Linked DNA regions of Mus musculus. The protein of the gene in region 1 purifies or fractionates together with the protein of each later gene. This does not show direct contact. Links are inferred from orthologs where the notes say so. Each region holds a gene or a part of one and is shown in the gene's direction. Other genes may lie near its edges.

Region 1 (5,834 bases):
AGACAGCGTGCGGAGCCTTGGATCTTTCTTGGCTTTGATTTTCTGAGCCAAGAGTGACTTAAACTTCTTGCTTAACCTACAAAGGCCAAATGAAAAGTTTATGAAGCGTTTTTAGTAGTTATAAAACATTTGGAATCTAAGATGGCCTCACTGACCTTAGCGAGAACCTGCTGGCCGCATGTGCGAAGCCAGGCACTCTCCAGCAGCAAGGAAACGTGCTCTGTTTTTCTTGGGCTGCAGAGTACGACTTGGGCGTCTCCCAGAAGGAGCAATGAGGATGTGGTCCCTTGGGGTGAAGTTCTAGGTTAGCCATTCACCTGTGTCACACTGAGCATTAGTGTGTGTGTAAGAGAGAGAGTGTGTGTGTGTGTGAGAGTATGAGTACGAGTGTGTGCTTGTGTGTATGAGTGTGTGTGTGTGTTAGTGTGGGTGTGTGTATATTGTAATCCTCCACCTGGGAACAGGGCTTCTAGTTTAAGTCTTGATGCAGTACAGGCCAGTTCCATTCACTGTGCTCACAGAAGCCCCAAGATGAGGTTGGGTGCTGAAGAAAAATAGTTAACTAGTAGGAATCCTTGAGTCTAAGGCATCTCTGATTTTTTTTTGGTTTAAAATAAATTGAGATCTTAATTTCTCTATATTACTCAGAATAAATGTGAATTTCCCCTTCTTTGCTAGGCTGGAAAGATAGTGACCTCAACGGTAGGAAGCCTCCCTCACAGGACTCTCATATGAAGGCTGGCCACTCAATACCTGTGCCTCAAAAGACTAAAAGTGACTTGGGATAGTGCATTTTAAATCCTTTCTACTCAATACCTATGGTATGGCTCCACAGTGCCTGGTGAGAATTCCAGGAGGAAGTAGATGATATGGGAGCCTATAATTAACACACTGGGGAGGTTTTAAAGAGGACTCACCTGAGTGCTTCCAACACGGAAAAGGACCTCTTGCCACCTCTCCTGTACAAAGGCTCATACAGGCTTCATTTCCTCTTGAGAAAGCATATGGGGTGGACGTTCTAACACCCTTGAGGAGCCCCTCAAGGAGTGGAGAGTGGGTCAGTAGCTAGTACTGAGTGCTGGGTGCTTGGCATACTGGGTTAATGGTATCAGCCAACAGACGCCTGAGTGTCATAATGGACATGTCTGAAGGTTTTTCTGACTGCATCTGAGTACGTTAAACAAGCCAGAACGTCCACTTTTGGATCACAAGTATTGTGAGGCAGATGAGATGACGTTTGAGGGTGCCTGGAACATTGATGCTGAGATAGAATAGAAACTGAGTGTGATAGAGGGGAGAGAGGCTGATAGCATGGCTCTCCACCATGTCAGATGCTGCCTCCTTTTTACATCAAAATTCCCTGTTGTTGTAGTGAAACTCATAGAGGATGTCAAACGAAGTTAGTTACTTAATCTACTTGAGGTGGGGTCTCTGCAGATCATAGACCTTGGAGTGCTGCTGAGCACCACTGTGCCCAGCTCAGCTAAGTAAACCGTGTGTGTGCAGATAGTGCTATATGAAGAGTTAGAGAAGGAGTTTGATACATTAGCAGCCAAGCACTGAGTATTTCAGTGTGTACATTCTGGTCTGTCTCCTGGGAGCGGTAATGAGCCAAGCGGATGCTTAAGCCCCTGCCCAGGTTTACCCTCCTGCAGTTGCTGTGCGTGTGCACTGGTAAAGACATCATGTGTGGTTGCTTAGATACCAGCAGCATTGCCGTGGTTAATGCTGTGTTTTTCCAAATATTGAACAGTTTTTTCTCAGCCAATGAATACTTCTTTATAAAAATTACCCACAGCATAAGGTATAGCCTTTATGTCACATTTACCGTGCTCACTCCTGGGAAATGCACTAGGAGGTTCTGAAGGGCAGAAACAGCTGGCACTGGGTTCTGGTGTGTGTCATTGGTTCTTGTTCTGTTTGTACTTTCTGCCTGGAATATCTAGAGAACATTGGTTCTAGAAGAGGCTGTCATGAATGAAGGGAGGAGTGGGGACTTGGAAAGCCAGAGGAGAATGCTAAGGATCCCTCCAGGGCCTAGGATCTCAGGAGGGAAGACAGTAAAGAAAACATGACTACCCTCTCAGCCCTTTGTATATGGGAGAAAAAGGTGCTTCTGCGAGGGACAGCGTTGGGGGCAGCCAGGTTGGAGTATTTGGAAATATGAGAAACACAGCTCAGGGACACACAGTGGTAGGAAGATGGACACTGAGCACAAGGTAGAGACAGTTACCAAGCTAAGGGTGGTTTGTGTTCAGAAAGTAAAGCTTAAAAATGACAACACTAAAGTTGAGGTTATTTGGGACTAGTTTCATGTTAGTGTTAGATGATTTGAGATGGGACAAGCTGGCATCTTGTCAGATGGGGAGAGGGTAAATAGGGAAGTGAAGTCAGTGAGGTGTTGGAGCTAAAGAAGCATAGCTTGATGTTTCCTGAGAGACAGAAAACGATTCAGTGTGGAACAGATTTGGCTTGAAGCATCTGTGGCCACAGCCAGGCTGAGGTACCTGCAAGCAGAACAAAAGCTGTTAGCCATTTTGCACACATACTATTATTGCAGTAGTTGGTTTGGTAGTGTTCTGTAACAGCCCAGGAGATGGGGGTAAGTCTGCAGGGATTTACCATACTCGGGAGTCCAGAGAGATTTCCAGTTTGTTCCAGGTTTCACAGTTCACTGATAGGAAGTGAAAGCTGAGTCTTTAAATCCCAGCAGCCTTTACTGTGGCTTGCCCAGGTGTGGCATCTTGTGTGTGTATGTTTGGATTTTCTTGTGCTGATCCGTTAATTGGTGACATTTTATAGTCAACCATCTTCCCAAATTTTGCCTCTTAAAAGTTTTTTGTTTTTTGTTTTTTTTTTTACTTTCTTATACATTCTAATTGAATGTATTAGATTACTGCTCTTTACCAGCCCGAGGGTTTAAACTCTGGCTTTCTGAACTGTTCCAGGCACTTTTAAAGTCTGTCTCTTAGGTGACTAATTCTCTCTTCAGTGTGTCTGATGTGCTGGTAACCTGCCTGAACATTCAGTGTCAGTCGTCCATATGTAGGTGAGCGCTGTTCTCTCCCCACAGACTCACCGTGTGAACCCACTTACTTATGTTCTCCTGGACAGTGCATGCTGTGGACACAGGCCTTCAGTTATTGATACTTCTTACAGACTTCTTACAGAATAAACACGTGCAATTGGTATTTGTGTACAAATACTTTTTAAGTGCATGTTTAAAAAGAGCACTAGTGTTTGCTGATTTCTGAAACCAGTCCTGATTGTAGCTTGTTTGTTGGCCAGGGAGACTTTGTACGGAAGTTAAAAGAAGATAAAGCCCCACAAGTGGATGTGGACAGAGCAGTAGCTGAGCTCAAGGCCCGGAAGAGGGTTCTGGAAGCAAAGGTAAGTCTTAGGATGCTAAGGCAGAAACGTCAGTAGGTGTAGGCTTATTCCTCTTTGTTTAATCTCTCCAGGTAGGAAAGATCTCAAAAGCTTTCTGAACAAGTGCCACTCAAAAGCTTTCTGAACAAGTGCCATTTGGTCTTTTTTTTTTTATTATTCATTGTGCCTTTTCCTCCTTCTACCTAACCAACTTCTTGTCTTCTCTGAGAGCTGCTCAAGGCTGTGTAGCTCAGTGGTGGAGCATTTGCCTAGCACATTAGACCCTGCTTCAAGAACGAAGTGCAGCTTACAATGCCCCGTAGTCTCTAAAGCTTCCGCACTACCTGAACCCAAACTCTCACTGTCCCCCAGTCCTAGACATAATAAAATACATGAATTTCCTAGAAGACATCATGCTCCTCTTTAAGAATTCACCTGGGATTAGATTTAATAGTTTTGTTATAATCTGTCTTATATTTAACTTCAGACCTTTTCAAACTGTAAACCTGCTAGCATTAAATTTAAATAGTCCAAGAGGTCAGTTTGTTTTGTTTTGGATTGGGGGAGGGTTGTCTGTGTCTGTCTGTGCTTCAGTGCCAGAGGTACCTGTCGGGTCCCTTCTTGCTGTCCCTTTTATTTTTTGAGACAGGCATCTCTCACTGGCCCTGGAGTTCCTCGGTTTGGCAATACTAGCCAGCCAGTGAGCTCCTGACATCCTCTGACTCCATCTCCTCAACGCTGGGGTTACAGATCCATGACCCCACACTGTGCTTTTATGTGGGTACAGAGGGGGCTGCTGAATTCAGGCCTGTGTTAGTCAATAGCACTTACCTGCTAGGCCATCTCCTGAGCCTTGCAGCTGAGGTTTTAAAGTGATGTCTTACATAATACATTATAAACTGAGATATTGCTTAAATTACTTCAAAGAAGTGTAGTAGTCCTGTCTGTTTTTTGTTTTCTTGAGAGCAAGTCTTACTGTAGTCAGTTTGACTTTAAACTCCTTCTGGCTCGATAACTCAATTCTGGGATTGTAGGCAGAAAGACTCCAATCGTAAGTAATCATATCTGCTACGTGAGTAGCAGTGTCTGCATTATTCAGCTTCCCATTGCTGTGAGCGACACATCTCAGGAATCAAAGGCTTATTGGGCTAGAGTGTCAGGCGTTATTGTCTATATTCAGCCTGTTTGCTCAGACCTGTGGTGCAAATGACATGGGGAGGGACACTGTTGCCTCAACACACACACACACACACACACACACACACACACACACACACACAGACAGACAGAGAGAGCGAGAGCGCGAGCGCGTCTCGTGGTGTTTCCATCACTTCCAGCAACACTGTCAACTGGAGAGCCAATGAGCCTTCAACTCTGAGCTGCTGGGGACTTTAAGATCCAAACTATCACAGCTTCTTTACTGCTGCTCAAAGTGTTTGTGGGGACTGAGGCCTCCACTTTAGCTCCTCAACGTCTTACATCTCTAGCATTTTATACTGGATTCTACCAAATTCAGATGTGTTAGAACCCCGCCTACCTGTCCAATTACTCTCTTCTTGTTTGCTCTTATAGGAGCTGGCATTGCAGCCCAAAGATGACATCGTAGATAGAGCAAAAATGGAAGATACGTTGAAGAGGAGGTTTTTCTACGATCAGGCTTTTGCTATTTATGGAGGTAGGGGGTGAATGAAGCCACAGTGAATGATGGGAAGCATGGCAGCATGGGGCAGACAGGGTGCTGGAGAAGAAGCTGAGTTCTATATCTTGATCAGAAGGCAGCCAGGACACTGTCTTCTGCAAGCAGCTGGGAGGAGGGTCTCTCCACGCTGAGCAGAGTCTGAGCTTGGGAAACCTCAAGCCCACCCCAACACTTCCTCCAATAAGGCCACACCTCTTAGTAGTACCACTTCCTTTGAGCCAAGTATTCTAAAGTGTGTCTTTGGGGCCAAACTTATCTAAATCACACTATGCTTTGTCAAGAGCTTGGCTTGCTAACTGATGTTTATTCAATTGTGTCAGATCCCATAAAGGAGAGAAGTCATGTAATTTACATTTTTGTTGTTCAAGAGTTGATATTTGCATAAACTCTTAGTACTCCCCACTCTGTTAATTACCCTCCCACCCCCTTGTAAAATTTATTTCTTTGTTTATATATTTTTTTTCTAAGACAGTTTCTCTGTGTAGCCATGGCTGTCCTGTCCTAGAACTCTGTAGACCAGGCTGGCCTCAAACCTAGAGTCTCCTTGCTTCTGCATCCTGAGTGCTGGGATTAAAGGTGTGTGTCACCACTGTCGGCCCTGTCGGCCTTTTTTTTTTTTTTAAATGGATAGTTTTCTTTTTTTTCTTTTTCTTTTCTTTTTCTGAGACAAGGTTTCTCTGTGTAGCCCTGGCTGTCCTGGAACTCACTCTGTAGACCAGGCTGGCCTTGAACTCAAAAATCCACCTGTCTCTGCCTCCCGAGTGCT
Region 2 (5,834 bases), about 32 Mb from region 1:
TTGTGACAGGGTCTCACTGTGTAGCCCTGGCTGGCCTGGAACTCACTATGTAAACCAAGCTGGCCTTCAGCTCATAGAAATCCTCCTACCTCTGCCTTCTGAGTGCTGTTAAAGGTATGTGTCACCATACCCAGTCATAATTATTCTTTTGATATATGAATTTAAAGCTACACTGTATACTGTCATGACTACATGTAATACTGTGAACTCTTGGTAATCTATTTTTAACATTTTTTTCAATCATCATTTAATAAAAATAGATGAAATCGATCTCTCAGGATTATATTTATTTGCTCTTGGAATGCTACTTTGACATTTTCATGTGACATTCCAGGAATGATCTGGACCTTCCCCAAATCAATTTATAGACGCTGGTAAATATGTAGGCATTAGTTCCCAAGCTTTATTTAGTGTCACTGGGATTGTTGTAGTTGGAAAGGACTTATGTTTAAACTCAACCAAGAATAAATAGAGACCTGAGTGTCCAAGTAGAGTAGTGCTCTACAAGTGAGGAGACAGGCACAGGAGACTTGCTCCTTTCATCCCCCAGTGCGAGGGTAGTAGCTTAGTGGAGCAGAAGTCAGAACTGGTGTGTTTCCTCATGTACACGCTCACTAACGCTGTGCGCATCAGCTCAGAAACAGTGCTGGGGAGCGCCTGCTGACGCCGAGGAGACCACTAGCAGATTACTTACTTTTTCCCTGGAGAAGAATCCATTTATAGATTTGTATAGGTGTGGTGGGTGACAGAGATGACAGGATGACCACTAGGTCAAAGCTGGCCTGGGCTACATAGTAAAACCTTGTCTCAAGAAAGGAGGGCTGGGAGAGTGCTTGCCTCGCATGGAGGGGTCCTGGGTTCAAACCCCAGGGCAACCACTAAGACAACAACCGGAGGGGAAACACAGCGGGAAGCCTATGCGTAATGATAGCTCTTCATAGCATTTACCAGACTCTAATATTCGGTCAATACTTTTATCTCCTCTAGAATTCATTGTTATTCATAATGGAATCATCACCAACTACAAAGACTTGAAAAAGTTTCTGGTAAGCGAGGTGACCCTGGAAGACGCCGTCTTCTGAGAGTGGGAGGTAGTTTGTTGGGGTGTGCAGCGTTATGCGGACATGTTCAAGTAATTACCATAATTATCTCCAGGGTGTGGCGTTTCATTGCATTTCTCTGCTGACAGTGGAACAGAATTGATTTCTCTTTTTTTAATAATTTATTTTATTTTTATTTTATGTGCATTGGTGTCCTGCCTAAATGCACGTGTGTTAGGGTGTCAGAAATTGGGGTTACAGACTGTTGTGAGCCGCCATGTGGTTGCTGGGAATCGAATCCCAGTCCTCTGGAAGAGCAGTCAGTGCTCCCAAGTGCTGAGCCATCTCCAACCCCACAGTTCTGATTCCTTACATGGCATTTTGAGGACAAGCTTTATTCTGTAGTGTGACAGGGCCATCTCAGTGTCGTCTGTTGAGTTTCTGCAGTGATGAGAACTCTCTGTATCTAGCATTGTGGGAGCTGTGCCTATAGGACCGCTGAACTGCTCCGACAGAGAAACTGGGTTTTAAGTTTTAGTGTAAATAACCATGCATAGCTAATGGATCTTCATTGGACAGTTGAGGATCACCAAATAACTGTTGCTCATGAAATTAGTATTTTGAATATTATATATCCTACTATATTTTCATTACAGTTTAATTCATATGCGGCAAATCTAAGTTAAGCCTTTTGAGTTGTATTTTGAATTCTCTACAATCAGATTTTAATTTTGATTAAAATTAATTTTAATTATTTTATTAACTATATTAATTGATTCTTATTTATTAAATTTGCCATTATAAATTAATTTTTAGGTAATTTAAATTTTGAGTAGAATAAATTCAGTATGACATCAAAAAAAGTTAGTAATTAGTAAGATCTATTAGGTTGATGAGGTGACTCAGTGGGTAAAGCGGTTGCCAGCGGACAGCGGTGAGTTTGTTCCCTGAAACCCACAGAAAGGTGGACAGCTAAAGCTGATGATGCCTCATGGTGGTCCTCTAACCCTCAAGCACACACCATGGTGACACATTTAGCCTGTACTTACAGACCTACACACGCATATATGTGTGCACACAATTAGAAAGGCATTTGGTTTTTGAGAAAAAAAAATCCTAGAAAATATTTGCTGCCTGGGGGCTGGAGAGCTGGCCCAGTGGTTTAGAAAACGCATTGCTCTTCAGAAGACTAATTCCCATCACCCACAGGATGGAAAACAACTGTCTGTAACTCGCCTTTCAGGGGATCTGATGCCTCCTTCTGAGCTGAGGGCACCAGTCATATTCATGCACAGACATACATAAATGCATACAATAGAAAGAAAAAAGATAATGTTGTTTTTTTAAAGTGAATAAAAAGGGACCATAAAATTAAAAAAATTTAACATTGTATATATTTAAGTGTGCCTTTTTTCCCTTTTCTCTCCTTGTAGGAAAGCAAAGGCTATGACTTTGAATCTGAAACAGACACAGAAACCATTGCCAAGCTCGTCAAGTACATGTATGACAACTGGGAGAGCCAGGACGTCAGTTTTACCACCTTGGTGGAGAGAGTTATCCAACAATTGGTATTAAACCATACTCTTAAAGATTATTGTGTTAGGACTAACTGGGGAAATAACTCATCAGGAAAGCACTTGCAATGCAAGTGTGAGGACTGGAGTTCAGGTCCCCAGCACCCACATAAGTGCTGGGTGGCTATGGTAGCCTCTTTGCAGTTCCAGCTCCCAGGAGGTGGTGGGCCTGGATTTTGCAGCGAGCTGTCTGGTTGGCTACATTAGTGAGGCAGCAAATTGTGGGTTCAAGTGAGAGACCCTACCTTGGTATGTACGGCAGAGAACAGTGGAAGGAGACAGCTAGCTCAAACCTCTGTCTTCTACCCATACTCACACATGTGCCTACACACCTCCATTTATAACCACAGCCATGTATGCCCACACACATACTAATAAACGTGACTAGCACACTCACACATGCAAGAAAAAGTAATTATGCTAATATTGTTTTCAAGTAGCTTTTTAAAAATGTTTGATGAACAGGAACTATGCTGGGTTTTTTTTTTAACTCATAGGAGTCTAACATTAGACAGCTATATTTGTGAGATATTTTATTGTCAATGTGTGTGTGTGTGTGTGTGAGTGAAGGCAGGAGACTGGCATTGGGTATCTTAAAACTGTTGTTGCTAATCTTTCATGTGAGTACAAGGGGTCAGAACTCATGCTCTGTGGGTAGCATTTTTCCAACAGAGCCATCTCCCCAGCCCTGTGCTGGTCTCCTGAGTGCTTTTTTAGGCTTTTATTACACATTCCCAGGCGCACATAGACACACACATATGCACAAACACAATTCAATGCAGGGAATTTTGTAAAACTGTTTTTTGACTTAGTAACTTGTTTTCCCTGGATTTACCATTCCATTTATTTTACAATAGCTATATTCTAACTATTTCACTGTAGTTAGAGGGTAAAAAGTAAGTAAGTGTTGGTGACAAAATGGCTCAGTAGACAAATTGCTGTGCAAGGCTGGCAACCTGAGTTTGCTCTTCGGAATTCACAGAGGAGAGAGCCAACTGCAGAACTGTTGCCCTCTAACATCTACATGTATGTTGGGTTTTTTTTTTTTTTTTTTGTTGGTATGTGTGTATGGGGTGGGTGGTGCTCCAGTGTGCCTACATGCGTGAACCTGTGTACACACGTGCAGAGGCAGGTGTTAACAGGGAGCCATCTCTCCACCTCATTTTAATAACTATGGTTGTATATAGTTGTCAAGTCCAAGACTGAGGGTAGAAGGTGGAGGTAGTGGTAGTGGGTGTGATGGGTTTTGGATGTGGAGCTTGACTTTCTGTTGGCTCTTCCTTCCTGAACAGACAAGTAGTCTGAGAGAGATGTGTCTGTTGAGAAACATGCTAGGCACACAGGTGACTCTCCGCTTTTTCATTGAGTATTGGAACGGGAGCTTGGTGGTCAGAGTTTGCTCACATCAGAGCTCGAGTCAGTGTCTACCTAAGATGCGGGCTTGGATATTAGGGAGATCTTGCTGCGGCATCTAAAATGGAGACTTGTTAAAAACTAACTCAAAGTACACAAGCGTGAACAGAAGTGTCTGAGCAGAATGTTGTATGTCCGAAATGCTTTGTTTGAGAATCGCTAACGAGAATACTACTGACGCTTCTTTCCCCCATAGGAAGGCGCCTTTGCTCTTGTGTTTAAAAGTGTCCATTTTCCCGGGCAAGCAGTTGGCACAAGGTACAATAGGTTTTCTTTTAAGGACTAACGCTGACATGCGTGTTGAAACATTCAGGTTACAGGGTACTTCTCAGTAACCTGTGGGTGGCCCTTCACCGTTTCCGTAGAGGTCTATTTTTATTCTCGGTTCCTTCTCTCTTTTAACAGAGTCTCTTAGGAAAGAGAACACATTTTGGCATTGTGATTTGTCTTTGGTGAGCACGGTGGCTCTTTATGAATTTGGATATGGAATATTTTTAAATTTTATACCCAAAGCATTAACCTTCTCCATATTTTTTGGAAATGCGTGTCAGACAGATTCCGAAGGAATTGTAGAACCACTGGTTTTGCTAGGATGTTTAGAAATGATCATGAAATTCTTAGGACAGTAAGAACATTTAAGATCTGGGGGGCTGGAGAGATAGCTCAGAGGTTAATAGCACTGGCTGCCCTTCCAGAGGTCCTGAGTTCAAATCCCAGCAACCACACATAGGCTCAAAACCATCTATAATGAGATCTGGTGCCCTCTTCTGGCCTGCAGTCATACATGCAAGCAGAGCACTATACATAATAAATAAATAAATCTTAAAAAAAAAAGAAGAACCTTTATGATCTGAAAACAGAAGGTCATCTTTAATCGGAAACAGGATGCCTAAGGATGTGTTGGTGTCTGTGTACAATGAAAAGTTCTTCACATTAAAAGAACAGTTTAAAATACAGTGTTAGAAGATATGAGTTAGTGGAGTCGGTCAGACAGGAAATATTTGAGTGTGTTGGGACACATGGCCTCCCTGCCAGCACTCAGAGCCACTGTCAGGCTTGAATGAAAGCAGCCGCAGAGGAAGGGCTTCACTGTCTCAGTGAGATTTTAATGCAATAGTAATTTGCCAGTTGAAAATTGTTTATTAGAAGTAGGCAGGTGTGGCCTGGGAACTCAGTTTTCTAATATAGTTATTTTGTAGTTCAATTCAGAGGGGAAATTAAATCATTTGAAGAGCATTAAATTTCAAATTAAAATGAATTTTGAATTCATACTTAAAATGTGTATTGTTAGTGCATTATTTATGGAGAAGGGTTGATTCTGACTCGTTGCATTTCAGGCGAGGTAGCCCTCTCTTGATTGGTGTGCGGAGTGAACATAAGCTTTCTACAGATCACATTCCGATTCTGTACAGAACAGGTAAGTTGCTGCATCACGTTGTAAGTGTGGTGCGGGAGCTCTGAGACGCTGCTCCATATGCTGCAGTGAATGTTCTCCGGTCGGATCTGTGTGTACTGTGCAGACAACTACATAGTTCTGTCTGGACAGAAAAAGCTTGTTGTGAACACTGACGAGAGAATTTTTCTCTGTTGTACATCCTTAGCTAGGACTCAGATTGGATCCACATGGTGGGGATCACAGGCAGAACGAGGTGGGAATGCACTCTGCACGGATGGAAGGGTTTCTCCTGCTTCCTTCATTTACTAATTCTTTGTTTTTGAAATGAACAGAGGCTCTAAAAATGTGCTTACTTTATGGGGAAATGTTTTGGCACTTTTCTAATTTGCAGAATACATCTTGTCTGTTTGC

The links.
Region 2: the proteins of Gars (region 1) and Gfpt1 fractionate together in Homo sapiens (co-fractionation; 3 studies listed by BioGRID, with this or other methods). This does not show direct contact. The link is inferred for Mus musculus from reciprocal best matches to the Homo sapiens genes GARS1 and GFPT1.

Annotation. Positions count from the first base shown.
Region 1 is NC_000072.6:55,043,126-55,048,959, forward strand, and holds part of Gars (glycine--tRNA ligase), read left to right. Parts: intron 1-3,288; coding exon 3,289-3,390; intron 3,391-4,941; coding exon 4,942-5,044; intron 5,045-5,834. UniProt on the Homo sapiens protein: Catalyzes the ATP-dependent ligation of glycine to the 3'-end of its cognate tRNA, via the formation of an aminoacyl-adenylate intermediate (Gly-AMP).
Region 2 is NC_000072.6:87,055,157-87,060,990, forward strand, and holds part of Gfpt1 (glutamine--fructose-6-phosphate aminotransferase [isomerizing] 1), read left to right. Parts: intron 1-987; coding exon 988-1,046; intron 1,047-2,473; coding exon 2,474-2,608; intron 2,609-4,223; coding exon 4,224-4,285; intron 4,286-5,364; coding exon 5,365-5,444; intron 5,445-5,834.